Lytechinus pictus: one gene and its partners. The protein of the gene in region 2 interacts with the protein of the main gene of each other region in a pairwise test. Links are inferred from orthologs where the notes say so. Each region holds a gene or a part of one and is shown on either strand. Other genes may lie near its edges. The genes, in order: protein numb-like, protein kinase C iota type-like and partitioning defective protein 6-like.

Evidence for each region.
Region 1: the proteins of protein kinase C iota type-like (region 2) and protein numb-like interact in binary tests that used the Caenorhabditis elegans proteins (3 or more experiments, as listed by UniProt). The link is inferred for Lytechinus pictus from reciprocal best matches to the Caenorhabditis elegans genes pkc-3 and num-1.
Region 3: the proteins of protein kinase C iota type-like (region 2) and partitioning defective protein 6-like interact in binary tests that used the Caenorhabditis elegans proteins (3 or more experiments, as listed by UniProt). The link is inferred for Lytechinus pictus from reciprocal best matches to the Caenorhabditis elegans genes pkc-3 and par-6.

Annotation. Positions count from the first base shown.
Region 1 is NC_087251.1:3,401,035-3,408,637, forward strand, and holds the start of protein numb-like, read right to left. Parts: upstream 3,025-7,603; 5' UTR 2,551-3,024; coding exon 2,537-2,550; intron 1-2,536. UniProt on the Caenorhabditis elegans protein: Involved in the tethering and targeting of pkc-3 to modulate the intracellular distribution of the kinase.
Region 2 is NC_087258.1:8,748,336-8,755,378, reverse strand, and holds the start of protein kinase C iota type-like, read left to right. Parts: upstream 1-4,023; 5' UTR 4,024-4,624; coding exon 4,625-4,682; intron 4,683-7,043.
Region 3 is NC_087246.1:69,801,127-69,808,273, forward strand, and holds the start of partitioning defective protein 6-like, read right to left. Parts: upstream 3,001-7,147; coding exon 2,923-3,000; intron 1-2,922. UniProt on the Caenorhabditis elegans protein: Necessary for apicobasal and anterior-posterior asymmetries associated with cell adhesion and gastrulation during the first few cell cycles of embryogenesis. Required for localizing/ maintaining par-3 at the cell periphery.

The DNA of each region.
Region 1 (7,603 bases), on a different chromosome or scaffold from region 2:
CCCCCCCCCCCCGCTCCTTTCTTATTTCAACATGTTATGTACAACAATTTAACCATGGAGTAATACATGTAGCTCCATGTTTTAACTATTTCTTTCTAGGGCAGCAAATCAGTATTCAATTCAAGAAATACAGGCAGCCAGCATCATTAATTAAACTTCCACTACACTGCTTCAATTTAATCCACTTATCTTTGGTCATCACTTATCTGCAGATAAAGCTGATAAACTAAATTTGTCATGCAAAGTTCATCAGAATGGCATGTATCCTAGGATTATAATTTACAGCATGAACCTGTACTCAGATAATGCAGATTGGCAATACATGTACACTGTAACATGTACATGTACACTGTAACATGTACATGTACATGTGCTCTGTAAAGAAATCTGCCAAAGGAAAACTAAGCAAAATTGCAAATTAACAACATTTATTCTAATCTCATTCTTTTTCTTTTGATTTCAACCAAAGAAAAAACATGAAATGTCCTTTCTTGCATGGGCTGAGAGCTGTTTGTTTTTCACCAATGGGCAGATAATCCAGTTAAAAAATAGAGAGTGAAATAATGAACAGGTGTATAAAATCCCTGAAATATATGAAATAAAAGAAATTATGGTAAATGAATAGGCTTAAATAACTTATAAAACATGAAAAATAAGAGGCTAAAAATATGAAAAAATCAAGAAAAATTATATCGAATACAGAAAACTAAAAAGAAAGGTTGTATAGAAATCATCATTTACATGTAAATGTAAAAATCAGCAATATTTAAAGGGTCTCCAGGAATTTTCCAGTCCCCATCAGGCATCAGCTTCGAATGCTTTTCAGATAGTGATGAATTTTAAAGGGGTACTACAGGATGAAAATAATATAATTTGAAAATTTCATCAAAAAAGTTATTTCAATTCAAACTTTTGCATGTTTCTAATAGCGGAACAGTTCTACAATGTACATGTATATGCCTGGCAATGAGCAAGCTGATATCATACATGTATCCCCACTTTTTTCTATTATCATTATGAAATCGTTTCTTCAAATTTTGTCCTCCAAGAATTGAAAAAAAAATATTGACTATTGATTCAATATTTCAATGTGTAAGATAATTATTGCTGCAACTTATTTTGTTGCATGGGACTCTTGGGAGACATACATGTACCATACTCATATATGAAATAATTATGATTTTAAGAAAGTAAGGACATGACATCCGCCCATCTATTGCATTTTCATGACATCATGATGCCATAAATTCTAGATTATTCAACTAATTTCATTTTTTGTGATCAGATTTTGATGGAACTTTCAGGGTTTTGTTTGCTTAATTTTACTCTATTTAGATTATTTTCAGCCCGGAGTACCACCAGTAAGACAGGTATTTTTTGGAGAATGACAAAATTTGTTATTCTATCTCATTATTCTTGGGTTGAGCTACAATTCAATGGTCCTCCCATCTATTTATTTCATTGCAGTTTACTGAGGCCTACCAGTAAAATACACAGTAATAAAATTCTGATCTGAGCAAGTATAATATTCAGGTGCAAGCTTTTCGATATATACAGTAGTGCCCACTTGCCATCAAATCTACTTGACCTATGAAAATTTAGTTTGTTTCTTTATTGCCGAAATTTACTTAGGTCCCATATCAATAGAATTTACGCTGTATCAATTCAGAACTGGAAAAATATTTTTTTCAAATAATTACACTGTAGCTATCAAGAGCAGCATTTAAATGTGTCTACAGGTGCTACATTGTCGGCTTAGCATAGAGTGTGGCTTGATGCTATTACCAATACACACACAAGTTAACTGATGGCATAATCATGTGCTCTATGAAGACATTATACCTTCACCTCACTCTGTACTTTCATACATGTACCTCCGCCTCGCTCCACACTTTTTGGATATCCAGCATTTACATGTAGGATTTTTGCTAAATTGAGGAGTGCATGGCATATTAGCTAATGTAGCTACTTAAATTGCCTGGATTCAGTTCATGTTTGAACTGAATTACAATGTATATGTAGATGTTGTCTACACAAAAGCCAACAAGAAAAACAAAATGTATGTGTAAACTTTCAAAACAAAAAAATTCTGAAATGAAGGAAAATCTTCAATAATTTAGTCAAACTTGTAACTAAAATCAACAAATGCATTAAACACGATACAAACAACAAAGTCTAGTGTGAGCAAAAAAAACTTGACACCTCACGAATCCCCAATGTACATTGTAAGGGAAAATATGTTATTAACACATATATGTAGCAGTGTAGCCTAATTATTATAATATAAATGGCCTGAAGAGTCAGGACTCCAACATGTCCAAGGAGGCAATAAACCTAGTATTTTAATTACATTTTTATGATAAAAATGAGTAAAATGTGATTTGCCTGCTGCTCAATTAGGAAAGATTCCTGTTCTCAAAATTGTTTTTAAAAGAACGAATTAAAACTTAAATCTACAATAAATAAAAGGTCAAATGAAAACACCTGGCTGTAACAATACATAGGTCAATGTACAGTATATTAACTTTATACTCACTTGAGTCTTCCCATCTTGATTTCTTCTGATATGACTTTACTCTGTTGTTAACTAGTATAATACATGAGAAGAAGACCACTGTTTATATCCAATGAATATTCCACAATGTTTAGAGGTAAAGGTGGCGAGGACATAGGTGGCACAGATACTTCATTCTACTTGTAGTTGTAGTATAACAAAACACAGCCAATGAGAGAATCCTCAATGTGTAGTACTTCCCTGTGCTAATACAATACTGACTGACCAATAGTGCAGTTTGTGTATACAAAGTTTTAGGATGCTTCAGTAACCCCCCAAAACCCATGCAAATAACTTTCTCACATACCAGAGTGCTTAGGTTGAGATTAGAGTATTCAAACAGTGGGGGAGCATTTCAAATGGATTACCCAAGCCTGTCTGTGTTTTGTATGTATGCATGGTGAGCTACACTAAGCTAAATTGAGGGATGTATGGTCTACAGAACAATGCTTGTCTGCCATTTATCCTACAAAAGCTCTGCTTTCATGAAACATTCTGATTTTGAAGGTGACTCATAATTACACTGCACTTCAATGAGTGCACGAGCAATACACTCTTTGGATAAACACAAATTAAGCAGTTGCTAAGTTTCACATAAGCTTAGGGCTCTGAAACACCCCTAAAACAAAATGGTATGTGCATTTACTACTCCTAATGGACCATCCCTATGGGGGTCATAACCTACCCCATGAAGCATCTCAAAACTATGCAATCATTTCTATATGTACATGTACATGTATACCAAACTGGAATGAAACTAAAACCTAATTTCTGTTCAATCCAGTCTCAAATTGTTTATTCTAACGGGATTACCTCAACACATTCCTGGAATCACATAACTCCATATTTAAGAGTTTTAGGGAAATGTTTCATTTTGGGGGGAAACACTGCATAAACCTGGTGTAAACACACATTTATTACCTCTTTGAATCACTGAGCAGTCAACAAGCCAGGTGAGGGGGTGTGTTATATTCAATTCTACAAACAGATTGTCACTATTCATCAAATGGATTAGGTTCATTCTAGGAAAGATCAAAGGCTAGAAGTCCTAAAACCATTCTTTTACAGGAATTGTTCCCTCTATAAATCTAGTCTCAGCTCTTAAAAGGTAAATTGAGATATAGGACACAAATACAATATGCAGGTACAAGAAAATAAGCCCCACTGCATTGGGCAATTTGGTGGATTATAAACCAATCAATATCTTTAGGGGTTGATAGGATAGATATCAAAGACCTCCTTGCCACAAGGTATCAAATCATCGCATTATGTTTTAGACCTGCCTACTATGAGAATGTATACATCTGTTTTCATCTGAAAGGACTATTAAAGTTACTTCAATATTTTATTCATTATACTAATTTTTTCAAAAATAAACTTTATCCTATTTTTTCAAATTTCATCTTGAGTTTATAAATGCACATTGATCAAAATGAATTTTATAAGAGTATTCATTAAAAGACAAACAAAAATAATAATAATAATAATACTTCTCTTATATAGCGCATAATAAACTGAAAGTTTCTCTATGCGCTTTACAATAAAGGATACAAAGTACATATACTACAAACAAAGAAAATAGACTTGTGAATTACAGAATTACTTAATATTTCAACTTACAAAAAAAAAAATGATGTCCAGGTACAGGTATTTCTTTCACAGGGGAAGTTCCCTCTGACATATAAGTTTGTTATAAAAATACCGGAAAAATAATAAGAAATATATTTATGAAGGATTGAGGAAAATCAATTTAAAGATTGTTATTAGAATTTCAAGTTTTCAATTTGTGACATCATGGAGCTATTACAGAGAACAGCTCCATGGTGACATCATATACAAGCAGCTGTCTCACATGTATTGCCATGTAATATAAAATGTATCGATTTCAATTTTTAATGGGAGATGGCTAGAAATTTTCTTTTTTCAGGAGTGCCTGTGAAATAGATTGTTGATCAAAATGAAGGTACAATAAACCCTTCACCATACATGGGAAGCTGCTCTCATGTGATGTCTCAAATAAAAAGAAAATTCTAATAACTTTATAAATCTTTGATGGATTTTCCTCAAACGTTCTCAAATATTTGTTTTTCTATTTTTACAACAATCTGTTTATCAGTGCATGGACCTATTTCCTTCAATCCATTGATCTAGATCATAATGGTATGCTCCCAGCACTCCTCAAATATAGGGAGTACGTACTATCCACAAAACTTCAAAAGGGTATAAAAGTGACAAAACAAATATGTGAAAATTTGTTAAGTCCCAAGGAAAAATCATGACAAAATATCACATTTTGCTAGACAAAATTTAATATTCATAAATTAATAAATATCCCTCCAAAACTATTTTACCCCAAAAACATTAATTAAAAAGAGGGTACTTTTGTTAAAATAAGATACTTTAACAAAATGTCAGATGAAATGTTTAATATAGCCTATAAAAGCCTGGTAAAAGGTCAATAATGTGAATTATAATCAAAATGGTGATTTTCCATGGATTGCTTTAACTTCTCGATTTAATATTTCAAAATGTATTTCCTGTGGGTAGTGGGGTTTATTTTCCCTCCACATCCTTGTCACATTTTCACTCCTTTATGAAGTCCTATGAAAGCAAAAGCAAAGGTTTCCAAATGAAAACAAACTCTTTCATGATCACAGAGGGCAGCAAATATGACCAAGGTAAAAACAGCATGATTTTATCAGTGAAGTACAATGTTCAATTTGTTAAAATGTCATTGGAAATTAGTTGGATGTCATTCCATAAATTCCTATTAGTATCTACAGTAGGGTTTGACTGTAAATTCTAGTATTGTAAAGTTGTACAGTAAACATCATTAGCCTTCACAAAATACCTTCACATCATAACAATTTGATACTGTTCTCTTCCATGATTTTGTTAAGAATATAAGATGATAGCTCCTGAAAAGTTACGGCAAAGTGTTTTTGCCTAAAAAACACTCAGAAAAAACACACACAGCTTTGGGGGATTACCCACTTTGCATATTTTACATACGTAGGCCATCATTACAAAATGCATAGACTTATAATTGAAAAATTGTTGTTTTTCAATTTGAAAAAGATATTAGTGCATCATAATCATTGGCAAAATATGAATGTAGATACATGTACAGACTTGTACAGTATCAAAGCGTCATGTAAACTTGAAACACTATGTACACAACTATCTAAGTAGAAGGTACTATCATCAACATGTAAATATGCCTACCGGTACATGTAATTTGTAACTGAACATGGACTTTGAAGTTTGAACATGAAATGTAGACCCAAGGCCAAGTCAAAGAAAACAAGAAATCTTTGAAAATTGTGTTGAGGTTTAATGAAAAAGAATCATGAATTGAAGCAACTAAGATAGATTAAATTGATTCAGACAAGAAATCACACAAGATATGACCTTTTCATATAGGAACAACCATACTTCTCCATGGCAAACTGTCAAGTGTCATTGATGAATAACATTATAAAACCAAGTACGGTAGCAATGCTAAACTTTATCAAGTAATGATCGAAGGTCATGGCATGCATAATTCTAACAATTTTAACATGAATTAGATCTATCTAGATTCTACATTTCTAGATCTAATTAGAAGTTAGAACAGAAGATTGCAGAAATTATGGATCGCATATCACATAGACCACAATTTTTTGCTTGCACATTCTATTCAGAGTCAAAGTCTTTAGAAAAGAGAACTTTCATTTTTCATATTGAGATTCGTGTACCGGTACTAACGTTAAAACTGTCTACCGCCGTAAAAAAAAAAGTACCGGTATACGGTACCACCTCCCAGGCTCCTGCCTCTCTAAATCCGCGCCCTCCGCCTCCGGTACCGTATACCGCATAAATACTTGTCGGCTAATTAGGCTAGATCTAATTTAATACTAACGTTAATTAGTCTCAGTGACAAATAAAAATCTGAAATTCGGCTAGCAAGAAAAATACATACCTAAATATTAAATCTGCTGGTTTTATCCTCAAGTTGAAGTTCCGAAAATCCCTTCTATAAAAATTGATAAATTTAAGGGCTTATCTCCTGTGGTGTGATTACGTAGCTCAGTCATGGGTTCATGGCATGGGTTATCTTCTGCTGATATTTCTTCACGGTATCTTATTATCGGTAATATCATATATTACCGGTACACACGTACACACATACACACACACAACGAGTATACCATACAACAAAGCCATACACACACAAAAACACTTGCATCGCGATATGGCTGTGCAAAATTACGTGCAATATGCAGCATTCTGAAAGGGTGGCCGTGGCGCCGCGTTCTTTTGCAGATGATATTTTTCAGCAGCTGCTCTTTTCGAAGAAATCACTGCTTTTGAATCAATAATTTCTATTTCATTTTATTGAAAGTATAATAAGCTCTTAGAAAAAGAGGAATGTTTTATATTTACGAACACTTTGTGATATAGCCATACAGGCCTACGTATATATTAAAGAATAAACGCAGCTCTCAATGTTTGGCATTGGTATATTGGGTAGAATTATTCTGCAATCAAAACCAAAACATATTAACAGAGGCCTTGGCCTTATAAAAAAAGGAGAGAGCTAGAGAGAGAGAGGGGGAGAGATACGAGGGGAAAGAAAAACTGACTGCATCTCATTGCAATTAAACTACAATCAACCCACACATGTTTTTTGTTCTATGTCTCTTCAAAATTCTTACTATCTGACCTGTGAATGTATGCGTGTATAATTCATTTGGACTCCAGGGGAGTGTTTCATCAACATTTTTGTCCGACAAGATGTCCGATCTGACAACTTTTCTGTGATGCTGATTGGCTATGAATCAGTGTTTCTATGGTAACTGTCGGATAAAATGGGATTTATCGGATAAGTCCATTCATGAAACTCTCCACTGGTCACTCTCATGGTCTATATTTCTTGTTTTATCTGTTGATCTACAAGGGCCTAAGTTTTGGTCGAGTTTTAATTAATGTATATTTATCTTTCCTCTTTAAAGGAAAATCAAAATATAATACATTCATCTTCCCTGATTCTTTTGGAAGAGAAAGACT
Region 2 (7,043 bases):
AGAATAGAAAGATGTAGATACTAAGATAGAAATATATCTTAATTTTGATTAAAAATCTGTTGTGGGAAAGGTGGACAGATAATTCAAAGCTTTTAGTTCTAGATCTTTTCCATATATTTTTGAAGAACATTGGAAAAAACATCCACTGTAAAAGGATTGCTTTTCAAATGCACTCACAATTTAAGCTATAATGACACAAAAGTGGCAAGACAGCAGAAATATTTTGTGGTGTAGTCCCATTCATGCATTTATATGTTTGCAGTGCATTAAAATTCTCAGCAGGTCTACTTTAGTCAGTTTTGCAACATTGACTACTTTAGTCAATTGCAAAATCTTACATCATTATGATATTTGATAGTTGTATGTAGAATAATCTGCAAATCTATCAGGAATTAGATGTTTCCCTATTTTCTTCAACCTTCAAATATCTTTAAATCCAAGACCTTAATACGAAGGGTACAGCATAGTCCTATATGAAGGGTCAGAGGTCTCAACTGAGATATAGTGATAAGTGATTATATCATAGAGATAATGGCCTCGTTATCAAGCCCAGTAAGAGCAAAGAAGCACAGCTGACCTGATTAAAGTTTATTATTTGACTTTTAATGATGTAAATTGGTTAGGGAAAAGCAGATAAGACACCCTTGGCTGTGTGTAGTGTAGAAACATCTATTGGCTAATTAAACACGCAAGCTTAGGGTATTTGCACTCTTCCTTATGTGGTCTGTTCATATTTTCACCAGTGTAGCAATCCAATGCCAGTTAAGCATTTGTTATTCTGCCAAAGTGATGAAAACCTCTATTCTTGTTATGCTAACAGGCCGCTGAAAGGGTCATACCCCACCCCCACTTATTTTTCAGTATGTATACAGAAACTTGAAAATTACCCATTTGTGATTGTATACATGTTCAGCCCCCCCCCCCCTCCTTTTCAAATTTGTTCAGCGGCCTCTGCATAGTTTTGGCACAACTATATATTCAATCTGGTGTTAGTGTAAACCGTCTATCTGTGTTGGTTACAGCATTGGACTGGCATCAGTGTTGTGTTGGTGTTGGTCTGCTCCTGGACAGGGTGCGAGTCTGGTGTAGGACTCAGTGCTATTGTGGTGATAGACTAAGTCTTATGTTAGACTTGGAGTCGGTTCTGTATTAGACTTGATTTCTGTTGTTAGACTTGACATCAGTTTGGTGTTACAGTCTGGTTTCTGTCCAGCGTAAGTTTAGTGTCATTCACGTATCAATCTGGCGTTGGTTTGCATCATCATTATGACTGCATGCTGTAATGTCTCTTCTGCATTTCCTCCATGTCCAGTAAGGTCACTCATAGTACAACTGTCCATTGAGTGACCTTATGCATCAGGCATGTATGCACACCACTTGGCAGTGTTCGACACTGAAATATTGTTCAAATAGCTGTAGCTGAAAACCACCACCAATCGACCATAGCATATTTTTATGCCTGCTTGGCTTTGAGCAAATAAGTCATACATGTACAATTCATATTCCACGGCAATAACATCTGACTCAAGAATGGAATATTTTTTGGTGATAAAGGTAAGGTATGCATGAGTAGTGAATGTTTGATTAAAGGCCTACCACAATTCAAGGATTTGATCAAAATAGCTATCACACCATTCTACACGTATCAGTCTATGTGGAAAATAGTGTTGGAGTCATTAGTATTGGTGTGTAAACGGGAGACTCTTCGTAAGGCGAGTGGAGAACACAGAAATCTGTTCGACTTAGCCAAAATTTAACTTTTAAGATGTAAATGAGCATTGTTTTATGGAATCTGGTCTGAAAGTGAAACAATGCTTCAAGTTATTGACTTATCGATTGATTGATTATTTGATTGATAGATTTCATTTCTCATGATAAAACACAGTAAAAAATAAGTGCATATGGAAGGTTGACTCATATATAATCTACTGTACCACTGGATGGTAATTTGTATAAGATTTCTTTTTTTTTTAAGAAGACTAGGATATTAGTATAAAAAAATATGGTGTTATGATGTCCTTCACACTTGTGTTTTCTACGCATACTTCTCCAGGGATTGGTGTGAGATCTAAAAAAAAATAACGTCTCCAAATCGTTGTTTCTCATGGTCTGAACACAGTGGTTCCCTTCTCACCTGTCTTTGCTACACATACTCCAACCCTCAATGGACGGAGATCCATTTGGCGCGCCCCAATTTGACCGATTCTCTGGGGTGCGCGGTGACATTCCCACGTAACGCATACGTCGGTATCGATCCAAGCGTCAATTATGTAAATCACATCTTTTCTCTGGACAATTCCGGAGCATGACCAGACATTTTGCCGGTGTATTCATGGGATATCGTTAGTGGATTCTCGGCTATAAATGATGAAATGATGCAAACATGGAACCATATTGAAAAGCAATAGGCGTACATGTTCTCTGTGCATTTTCTAATAGACAGATTAAAGATTAGATTTTAAATAGCTGTCTTTGAATTTGTGAAGACAAAGACAAATATTTATCTAGTTTTGAGGTTACTTGACATTACAATTTTCATAAAGCCATGGATGCTTTTAGAACACTATTAGGGATAAAAGACTGGACAATTCAGCCTTATGACATATATTAAGTGGTCATTAATCAAAGTTTAGATTCATAAAAGCATGAATTTTAGCATTGATTCCCTTCACACAATTGAACATTAATTATGTCAGGTTATTGGGGGAAAATTTGGCTGCAGTCCCATGCCTTCAATTCAGTATTTGCTTGAAGATCATATTTCCGCACTCCTTAGTAGCTAGTCTAACCCTGACAACATTTGTGCATTAATTTCCTTGAGCCTCGCCTCATGATCATGACCAAGAGGTCTTCAATTAATTAGTTCCTTCTCATGTTTCCTATAATGACTGCCGATGCCGACCATGACCAAATTAAGATGATCTTGAGGAATTGTATAGTGCCTACATGTATAGAGACTTGACAGATAGCACACAGATGCATTGAATACACAGTACATCACATAGAGATACATGTGCAATTTTGTTGTCATATATTGTTTTTGATGCTACTAAAGTAATTTTCAAATTAAATGAGCAGAAATCTTCAAGTTGAAATGGCTACATTTTTACACAATAAATTGAGAAAAATATAATCGGGACTCCTTTTCCACTGCTTTTATAAGTAATACTTTTTATGTTCATTCTAATTTCATATTTCAGTGGCGATATATTTAATTGTATTCAAGTAATTAATACTAGAAAGTTTATTTATAATGATTCTGATTGATATAACTTGGTAGTAATCTTTGCATCAATATTTTTTTTTACTGTACTTAAAATAAAACCTAATGGGAGTCTTAGAAAAATGTAACAGATATTGAGGATATTATTTAGGGGAATTTATAAACATTGCATGGAAAATATAACTTTTTTTCTAAATAAGGCACATCTGTTGGTATTCTCATAATAGTACAGCTTATTACCCCTTTTGGAATTATGATAACAAGTTTGTGCAGTTACTGTATATAGTGTCATTACTGTACTGTAAGTAACATTTAGTGACTGCATGTCTTCATTTGATCTGAATAAAAATTGAATATCGTGGATTTGCAATAAATCTGTAAATAATTGATAGTATGCCTACCAAATGAATAATATCTGATTTTCTGACAACATTATTGAATAAAAAATGTCATATTCGGTGAGCTGAAAATAAAGGTCATCTGACCCAGAGTGAAGGGGCAGGAGGGGGAAGGGAGCGTGATTTATTCAGTTGGCGTACAAATATTCTGCTAACAAGATTAGGAGGCAACAAGTTATTGTTTATTTCAATGAAGCAAGCTAATTATAGACTTCCCGCTACTATACATGCATGATAAAGATTAAATGTATATCTGTCTCGTAGAACGCACAAGTATGCTGTGTTACCCCCAGGCCCTCGTCCCCCTCCCCCCAACGATTGCTACATGGGGTGACGGGGAAGGGGGATCGTGTGGCTGTCATGTCATACGCGTCGTGCCTGCGAGTCAGCGAAGTGACAGCTGAGTCGGTCTTCCTCTCTCGGAGAGCCGATACATTTGGCCGGTTGACGCTAGTACTTTAGAATGTTGGCATGAGCTCACGCTTTGAAGATTTCAATCAAGGATGCACATTTGCTCTCTCACTCATCCAACAAGAGAAAGACAGAGCGAGAGAGAAGGACAGTCTGAGGATAGACATCATGTGTCAAGCTTGTATGTTTCGTTGTTTTTAGATTGATTTAGCATTCCTGGCATAGCAGCACAGTGCTTTCATTGCATTAACCGGTTGTCGACGGTTGCTTGCTCTGTGTGTTCACTCAGTGTACATTCCCCATAAGCAGAATGTGTAACAGCGGTGGGATACTGCTATTTGTATGTGGTTTGCGTGCAACCTTCTCTCAGCCCATCATGCATTCATGAGTCGAGAGCCAAGCCTGTATACCCCCCTGACACAAACATGTTTGCGTTTCCAACCATATTTTGTGGACAAACACGAAAATGAAATATTAGTCAGTGAAAATAGGCCCAGCTGCAAGGAGGATCTTCATTACTGTGTAGCTCATTTTGCCATGGAATCACGCGGATAATTTTTGTCTCTGGAAATCACTCCTTGGCGTCGCACAGATGGACATCCGAAAGGCGAGGATACTCTTTCAAGGGTACGTTCTCCGGCTGGTGAAATGTGAGTGATGAAATATAGACGGGTGAGCGAGTGTCGTCGATTTCTCTGAAATCTGTTTGCTTGAATGTAGAATCCTGTGTAGCTCCTGTACTGTCTTTGCTGTCATGTGGATCCATACTAGATAGTTCATTACCAGTCCGAAAGAATCTCTCAAAGCAGGTTTTGTATTGAATTGCAAAATCTACCAAAAGGATATGGTGGCTAACACTACTAGATCTACATCTAGTAGGTTTTTTTATATCAGAAAAAGTAGGACATGATTGTGTCGTGTATTCCATTTCCCAGGGAATGGTTCTGGCTGTTTTCAGAGAAAATGAAATAAATCAGGCGAGGGGGGAAAAGGATAGAATCCATTCTTTCTCACAATTTGATCGATAACAATGAAGCAGAATGCTGGCATGAACGAATAGATTTTGGTTGTGGCATGTGAATATAATGATGCTAACGCTGTATGGGAAGCTGTGTGGGAATATGCATGTGAATTGTGGGTAAAGTTGCAGTACACGGTAAGTTGGCAAGTTTCTACTGTCTTAAAGACAATTCCCTGAATTTGACATTGGTTTAAAAAAGACAACATCTCTGTTATTTGGAATTCAATAATTGTCCCTAAATATAGTTTCAAAATGTCACTTGCCATATTATGCCTTTAGGCCCTAATGTAGGCCCACTAATAACAAAAACCAAATGATGACCTCTTTCCTTTTGAAGTTGACTACAAACCAACAATAAAGAAGGTTTAACTTAATTGCTATTAATTATCAGAGGTAACAATTATCAACTCAAACTCCCTCCTCGTATATATATTCAAGCCTTATGCATCAGAGAAATGGAATCCCCCGTCTCCCTCTTAAAGTATAAAATCATATGCATAAACTGCATACAGACTAGTCACTGAACCTGGAGGTATGTGGGGCGCTCAAGGCCGACACCCTTGCAGTTGTCATTTCGATGAATCCCTAGGTCTCTCTGTCTTTGAACGATAAACAAGTCCTATAGATGAGACATAAACAGAGATTGACTTGCTAAACCACACTGGTAATCACACAGTGCTGTGTAGTATATGGAGTACTTAAAAAATACATATTCCATATGTTGGCCTTTTTACTTTCGCAGGCCTACACTGCCCATGCAATTTGTGTCTTTGCTGCCTGGCTTTAAAATCACTCGATGGAGATACGTGTAGTCTATGATGAGCTAGCTTTCAATTAAAAATACACTGCATTATTGAATGGGTACTCTTCTGGCCTTTCCAGTGCCTGGGTCCCTTAACACAAAGGTTAGCGATTAATCGCTAAATGAAATGACCTATCACGATCATCGTTGCATACACATTTTGCTCTGTTGATTGATTAAGAACCAATCAGAATTGCTCTTTCAAATTAGCCATTAATTTGCTAACCCTTGTGTTACTGGGCCCTTGTCAGGCTTTGCTTTCTCATTCTTGGAATCTGCATCAAATATTGAAAGTCTCATTTGGAGCAAAGATGAACAAAAAAATATATTGAAGAAGCATTAAAAATGAAATGAAAGTATTAATAGAGAGAATAAAAAGGTCCATTGCAAATTATTTATAAGTTTATACAAATACCCTGACAATCATCTGATCAGTGAAAGCTGGAATGGTCAGGATGACAATTTGTAGTCTCATACATATGTGTTTGTGTGCGGTCCATGGCTGTGGAATCAATCAAATTACACTATCATTATAATTTGAATTATTGTTTTATTATTTTAATTATTGCTTGTTTGATCAATCTACAAAAAACATATAGCCTATGATAAACAACCATTCGTACCTACAGTTGTTAATAAAAAAAATAACAATCAATTTTCAATCATTTTGAGCCTTTTTTTCCCTTCACAATTCAGCTATTAGTATCAGGCAGAATTGAGGTTTATCTTTAACATTCGAATATGCATTTGTTCAGTCTTCTAATTCAAGAAAAATGATGTTTGGTTTTATATTTTCAATTTCCTGTGCCTCATCTTTATCTCCCAATAAAATATGCCTCTTAAATACATACCTTCATTTTTTTTGTGGGTTTTGTAGAGTCTAGCAGGGATCTCTCTGCTCTCCTTATAGTATTTTTCTTCCAGCTCATTAATCAGTCCATTAGTATGAGAGCTCTCAAAATGCCATTGCTGTTTAGGGTAAATATCGTAGATTGCCAATCTACTATTTATACACCTTTCCATTTACTCAGTCCCCATTTTTTTCTTTTTACTCCATGTTTCTATACTTTTCTATCTTCTGTTGCTTTGCAATTTATTGTATAAATTGTGAAAATCTTTTTTAATTATTGATTGTTACCTATAAGCCTACAGTATATTTGAAATGTGAAGATAAATAGACCTTTTCCC
Region 3 (7,147 bases), on a different chromosome or scaffold from region 2:
CTGAGGCCTGTACTGTATGAATGAGCTGGGTGCGCAAGCTCGGAGCTCAACCATCACACTCACCTTCAACTTACACAAATAGGAGTACGTGGGGCACTGGAAGATACTCGACGATGCATCAATCGACGTAGAAATGGATCGTAGATTCGTCGTTATAGTATCAAGGCCATTGTAATCACGCAAATGATCTTTGCATAAAAATTAAGCTCAAAGTATGCTTTTTCACCTTATAATTTCTAAAACATGTACGAGCAGGAAAAGATTTAACTACGGAAGAAAGACAGACATACCTAAAATGACCAATCTCTAAAGTTCCTCCGTTTGTAATTTTGTTGAGTCAAATCAGATTGTGACGTATTTGGTATGTATGCAAAGGGGATCATCTCAGAAGTTCAACCATACATCAAAGACGTACAGAAATCCGTACGAAGTGATATGGATGTTGGAAGTACAGCAAGTCGTGTTTCGATTTTGAAAAAAACAGAGCTCGAAGTTATGTGGAAGAACGTCGTTTTCGGCGGTGCCTCGCAGGGACCTTAAAAAAAATCACTGACCTCAGATTTTACGAGCGGGCTTATTGCGTTACGTAAGCGGGCTCTTACTTTCGCCTGGCGGCTTGCCGATTGATGTTAGATATCGTTCCTTCGCCAGAGGGAAGCGATAACAAAGGATTAACAGAGGAATTGGAAGAAGGATCTCCTTCTGTAATACATGCTCTCTATGATTGTATTACCAAAACTAAAAATAGTCTCTAGTATAAAGTTTTACAAGTGTATTACAAATTTGCGACAGATACAAAGCAGAATAGGCATGTAATTGAATGTTACATCAGCCACTCAATAATTTTCTCCAATATTCACATTTGCATTAAAAAAATCACTTTTCTGTAAAAAAAAAGTTTTGCTCAGAATGATATTTTCCCTTTGCAAGGATGAGTTCCAGAGTATGTAGAGTAGCCTACACAATAGGAAGGCGATTCATTGTACCTGTATGGCATGGTACCATAGTTTTACAGTACTAACTTTACTTCTGTACTACACCAGGCTGAAGAAGATTTTTTTTTCAATTATGGAATTGGAAGAAGATCAGAAGGACAAAAAAGAGAAAATAGACATACATAGTTCTAAGTAGGATAAAAGAGAAGAAGACAAATGGAGGAAGAGAAATAGGATGAGAGAATTTTGAATGGCCATTTTCATTTTGGCAGGCTAAAAAGGTCTTGATGGGGGCAGATCACCTATCATTAATTTCTTCCCATTCATTATTTGCACCACTCTATAAAATTTGAACTACATGTATACAGTGCGTCCCAGAAAAAACGAAACCGATATTTATCGATGATTTTTCATAACTTAATCACAAATACAATAGACAAATGACCTATCATTGTAAAGAAGAGTCTCCTCTTTCATTTGAAAAAAGATTATTTATCATTCATGCCTGAGTGAGCAAAAAAAATTTGAAGAAAGGAAACCAAAAAGTCACTTGGCGGGCAGTATCTGAGTTTCAAAAAAAAAATCACATTAAAAAATTCAATATCTGCTCTTTAATTTGATACCTCAATAACAGAAAACGTTCAAGAAGTATTAAACCTAGTTCTGTTTATTTGAAATAAGGCTTGAAGTCCAATAATTCATAAAATGAAGAGGTTTTAATACTGGATAACTTTCAGACTTACTTGACAATCCGTTTTGTTGATGATCAGCCATGCATAAAGTCTTTTGTTAACCGTGCGATAGCTTCTGCGGGAAACCGGTGAAAACATGTATGTTTCATGAAATTATGGAAATACAAGAATTATTTTGAAGAACCATAGCTTTATTATTTCTTGACCATTTTCTGCGATTTAGCTACATTAAAAAACAGATATTTAAATTTTTAGGCATGTGATTTTTTTTTAATTTTGATACCCCCCGCCAAATGACTTTTTGCTATCCTTTCTTCAAATTGTTTTTACCCACTGTCTCACTCATGCGTGGATGAGAAATCTTGTATGTTATACCTTCTGAAAGAGAAGATTTATGATTAAGTTATGATAAATCATCACTAAACCTCGGTTTCGTTTTTTCTGGGAAGCACTGTATAAATGTAGTTCAAATTTTATAGAGTGGTGCAAATAATGAATGGGAAGAACTTAATGATAGGTGATCTGCCCCCATCAAGACCTTTTTAGCCTGCCAAAATGAAAATGGCCATTCAAAATTCTCTCCTCATCCTACTATTTCTCTTCCTCCATTTGTCTTCTTCTCTTTTATCCTACTTAGAACTATGTATGTCTATTTTCTCTTTTTTGTCCTTCTGATCTTCTTCCAATTCCATAATTGAAAAAAAAATCTTCCGACTGGCGACAGGTTGAATACTACATGTACTTACTAGTGCCAAAACCATCGCCGAATAATTTGATCGCCCCGGCAGTCGCGTCGACGGGTTGAAGAAAAAAATAATGCAAAATTCCAAAAAGAATAACCAGCATTTGCTCTTGGATATAAGACAGGTCTGAAATTAAGGTAAATTCCATATTTCTATATATCTGAGGAAAGTCTCCAAACGGGTTGAATATTAAATGTCCTTACGCCCGGTATGATGTATCGATCATTCTCCTTTTTTTATGGTACGATTCTTTCATGAAAAGGACTTGAAGTTATTACACTGGGCAGCTGGGTCGTGTTTTCAAAATGATAAAGAAAATAATATTGCAGTTATCAATAATAGTGACTTAGTTAGTAATTAATAACATTCATCTTGGTCCATGTCTAGACTCGAGCCAGAGGACAGCGCCTGTTCAGGCAACAAGCAGCAAGGGCAAGGGGCGCCGGCTCCGCCGCGGCCGCGAAGGAGGCCTAGCCTGCTGTGACAGAGTACCGGTAGTGTCAGTGCTAGAGCAGAGACATGAGTCTGAGAGAACACCAATGAAATACTCACCTTGCTTTTGATTTCTTTCAGTCCTTTAGCCCATCTGTTGCTCCCATTGAGCATTGTCGTGGATCCATTTTTCGCCATAATGCCCACCGAATCCCGCATTTGAAGCGGGAAATCATCAATTCTCCAAAGAGTAATCCTATTGCTTCCTATTTCCTTCCAAAGAGGTAATCAAATTGACAAATTACGGGTTGATGTGATGTCGCTGATACATCAGTTGGCTGTGACGTCAGATATAAACCCACTTCCAAATTACTTCCGCCAACCAGTCAACTTGGTACTGTTGGTGCCCCCGTGGTGCCCCTTGTTTCAACATCGAATTTCCCCAGTATTTTTCTTCAATGTATTCTAGAGAAAAGGCTCTGTTAATTAACATCATCAATTAGAAAAAATTAATTTATTCTATTTCATGTGGGTGTGTGTGAGAACAAAGTTGAGTCATAAAGGGACACACCTTTGGATTGGGCGTGCAAAGTGTAGGATGGCGCCATTTCCTTTTAACTTCTCGACACTATAGTGGTATCTGCATGACGAAGTCCGCGGTTCGATTGATTGATTGATTGATTGATTGATTTGATTGATTTTATTTGGCAAGTCACCATAACATATATACAGTAGCATTAAAACAACAGGCTTGCACAGGATGACCCACGAAAGCTCGAAAGCTTATTTCCAGTGGGGTCCTCAATATACAGAATTAAGATAATAAAATGTTAAAATTATACTATTTACATATTAAAAATGAAGAAAAAAAATCAGAATTTACTATTACCAATAAATAAGATATATAGACAATAAATAAGATATATACAAGAATATAACGAAGAAGAAGAAGAAAAGAAGGAGAAGGAAGAGGAGGAACAGAAGAAGAGGGGGACGAGGAGTAGAAGGAGACGGAAGAAACTGACAACGAAGGGAAATAAATAAGGAGAAGAACAACAGCATAAACGTGACGACAATAACAACAAGAAGAGGAGAATAGGAAGAAATAAAAGAAATAGAAAGAATAGAAGAAAGGACATATCGAAGCTTCAATCAAACTATGTAAAATACATAATAATACCAAGTAGAGAAGAGAAAAGAACTAGGTCAGTATTCAGGCTAAATCAACCGTACAACATATCATTTGCATCTTCTTTTTGACTCTCAAGTGAAAGATATTCTTTCAATTTCCTCTTAAAATGCAAAAAGTTTCCTATTTCCTTTATATCATTGGGAAGGGAATTCCAATGTTTTATAGCATTGTAATAAAATGAGTTACCAATACTACCTACCCTTTCTGGTAAGCAAAAATTGAAATGGCTGTTTCTTGTATTATAGTTATGTATTTCGGTAACTAGATTAAAGTTTGATCCAATGTAATGATTCGATCTATTGTGATAGATTTTATGCACGTGGTGCAAAATAAGCTGTTTTGATCTTTTGTTGACTTCAAGAAAACCTGCTCCAGAGAGTTCGGTGTAGCCAACATGGGTTCTGGGACCAGAACAGCTAATGAATCTAACCATTTTATTCTGTATAATTTTCAACTTCTTTTTATCGAGTTCGCTTATGCCACTAAACCAAGCAGGGTTGGCATAGTCAAATAAACTCTGAATAAGAGCAAAACAGAGAATACGCCTTGCTTTTTGATCCATACAACTTTGATACCTGTACAAAAATTTCAAACGGGCATTCGCCCTTTTTACGATTGATTCTACTAAAGATGAAAATGAAAGGGAGCTAGTCAACTCAATGCCTAAATACTTTACAGATTCTTTCCTATGAATTATCTTATTATTGTATGATACTTCAAATTCAAATGAAGTTTTATGATTACTTTTAGAACAAAACAGAATGCTTTCGGTTTTGCCTAAGTGTAACGATAATCTATTATCAGTCATCCAATCGACACATGTAGACAGCTGTTCGCTAAGTTTTTCCTCAACAAATTTTGGGTTGGCATTTGAACAAAGTAGTACGCTATCATCTGCATACAATAATAATTTACAATCAGCTTTTAAACAAATAGACATGTCATTGATATAAGTTGAAAATAGGATTGGGCCTAAAATACTTCCCTGTGGAACTCCACACGTTATAGGCATAATTTTGGAACAAATATCGCGAATAGCCACTACTTGATGTCGATTCGACAAGTAGGATTTGAACCATGCTACAGTAGCCTGGTTAAAACCCATTATTTGTAATTTTTTCAATAAGATGCCGTGATTAACTGTATCAAATGCTTTTTGAAGATCTAGGAGTACCATCCCAACGAATTGTCCCTTAGACATATTTGTTCTCAGATAATCAGTCAAGTGAATAAGGCATGTCTCAGTCGAATAGTCATGTCGAAAACCTGACTCGTAAATCATATCATTTTCTTTAAAATATTTTTCGATCTGAACACATACCGCCTTTTCTAGAATTTTGGATACTATGCTTAAAACACTGATAGGTCTATAGTTTTCAACAGCAGTTTTATCTTTCTTCTTATGAATAGGAGTTACTTTTGCAATTTTCATATCCTCTGGGAAAGTGCTAGTAAAGATAGATAGATTTATTAAGAAATTTAATGGTTTGTACAAACTCTTTGCTCCTTCTTTTAGAAATTTAGCAGGTATCAAATCTAACCCAGTGCTTTTTGATACATTTAATTTACGCAACTCATTAAAAATGAATTGATCACTAACAGGTAATAATTCAAATTTATCTTGGCTTATACCCTTTTTTTCATAAAATTTACGAATGTTTTCACTGTCTGCACTGAAAATATCTTTGCAAGATGGAAGTTTATCTACCAACGTAGCTGCGACATTTGTAAAATAGGAATTGAATTCATTGGAAATAGTTATCTTATCATGACATAATTCTCCGTCAATTGAAACGACTAATTCTTGGTCCTTTCCATTTTTCTTTTTTAATCCCAAACTTTTTAGATTCTGCCAAAGTCTTTTAGAATCATTTTTATTTTCTTCTATTTTATTTTGTAGGTATTCTAATTTGGCCTTTTTCACCTCTCTTTGAACCATATTTCTTAATTTCTTGTATCTTTTGGAAAGCGTGTCATAATCCTGACCGCTTAGATTTTTCTTCATTTTTTTATACGCCACATTTCTTTCTCGAATAAGAGAAATAATATCTTTAGTCATCCAGTTTTCTGATCTCTGTTTAATTCTAATCCGTTTTTGAGGCGCTATCATATTCAACGTTGAAATAAAAGTATTTTGAAAAACTGACCAAGCCTTATTTACGTCAGTGCATTGGGTTAAATCTGACCAATCAACGGCAGACAGTTTAAGATTGAAAGATTCTTCGCTATATTTTTTCAACGATCTGATATCAATGGTTCTGTGAACACCTATAGCCAGCCTAATTTTCTTTCGTGTACAGAAAGTAAAAGAATGGTCACTTATACCAAGATCAATAACACCACTTTGACTTATTTTTTGTTCGTTATTACAAATCACATGGTCCAATAAAGAAGAACATGTGTGAGTGACACGGGTTGCATCTTTGATGAGTTGGCTAAATCCATGAAGACTCAATAAGTCAGTATATTTTTTAGCCAGTGGAGATTTCTGAAAAAGACAAACATTCATATCGCCTAAAAGTATAATTTCATCATCTTTCTTTAATATATCGAGAATATTTGACATCTTCTCAATAAATTGATTGCTTTTCGGAGGCCTATAAATGACGCCAGCAATAATTGGTTTTGATCTTGGTAGAAGCAAATTAATCCACAGTGATTCAGAATCACCTGTACTTAAAACATCTATGATATTGAATGCAATATCATTTCGGACATAAAAACATACACCACCCCCAGAACCTGATAATCTATCATTGCGTATTACTTTGTATCCATCTATATTGATTTCTTCATCGTTCACCGAGTTATTTAGCCATGTTTCTGTGAAAGCAATGACTGCAAGATTCTTTCTCTTAAAAAGAATTCGAAGTTCTGAAATTTTTGGTAGAATAGATCTAACATTTAGATGTACAAAGTGAAGGCCTTTTACAGCAAATATGTTTTCAAAATCTTGATAAAGTAAACTTGAATCCTTCGAGTTTTTTTGTTTCGACTATAATAGTTAAATAGACACATCTTAGGCCTAACCGTACGTTTAAAAGGGCACCCCTGGCTGAAAAATAATTATATTTAAATAAAATGAAGAGTAAAATTCACCGAGCAACCCACTGAAAATATCACAAATCGCGAATTTTAAATTTAAGCAATATC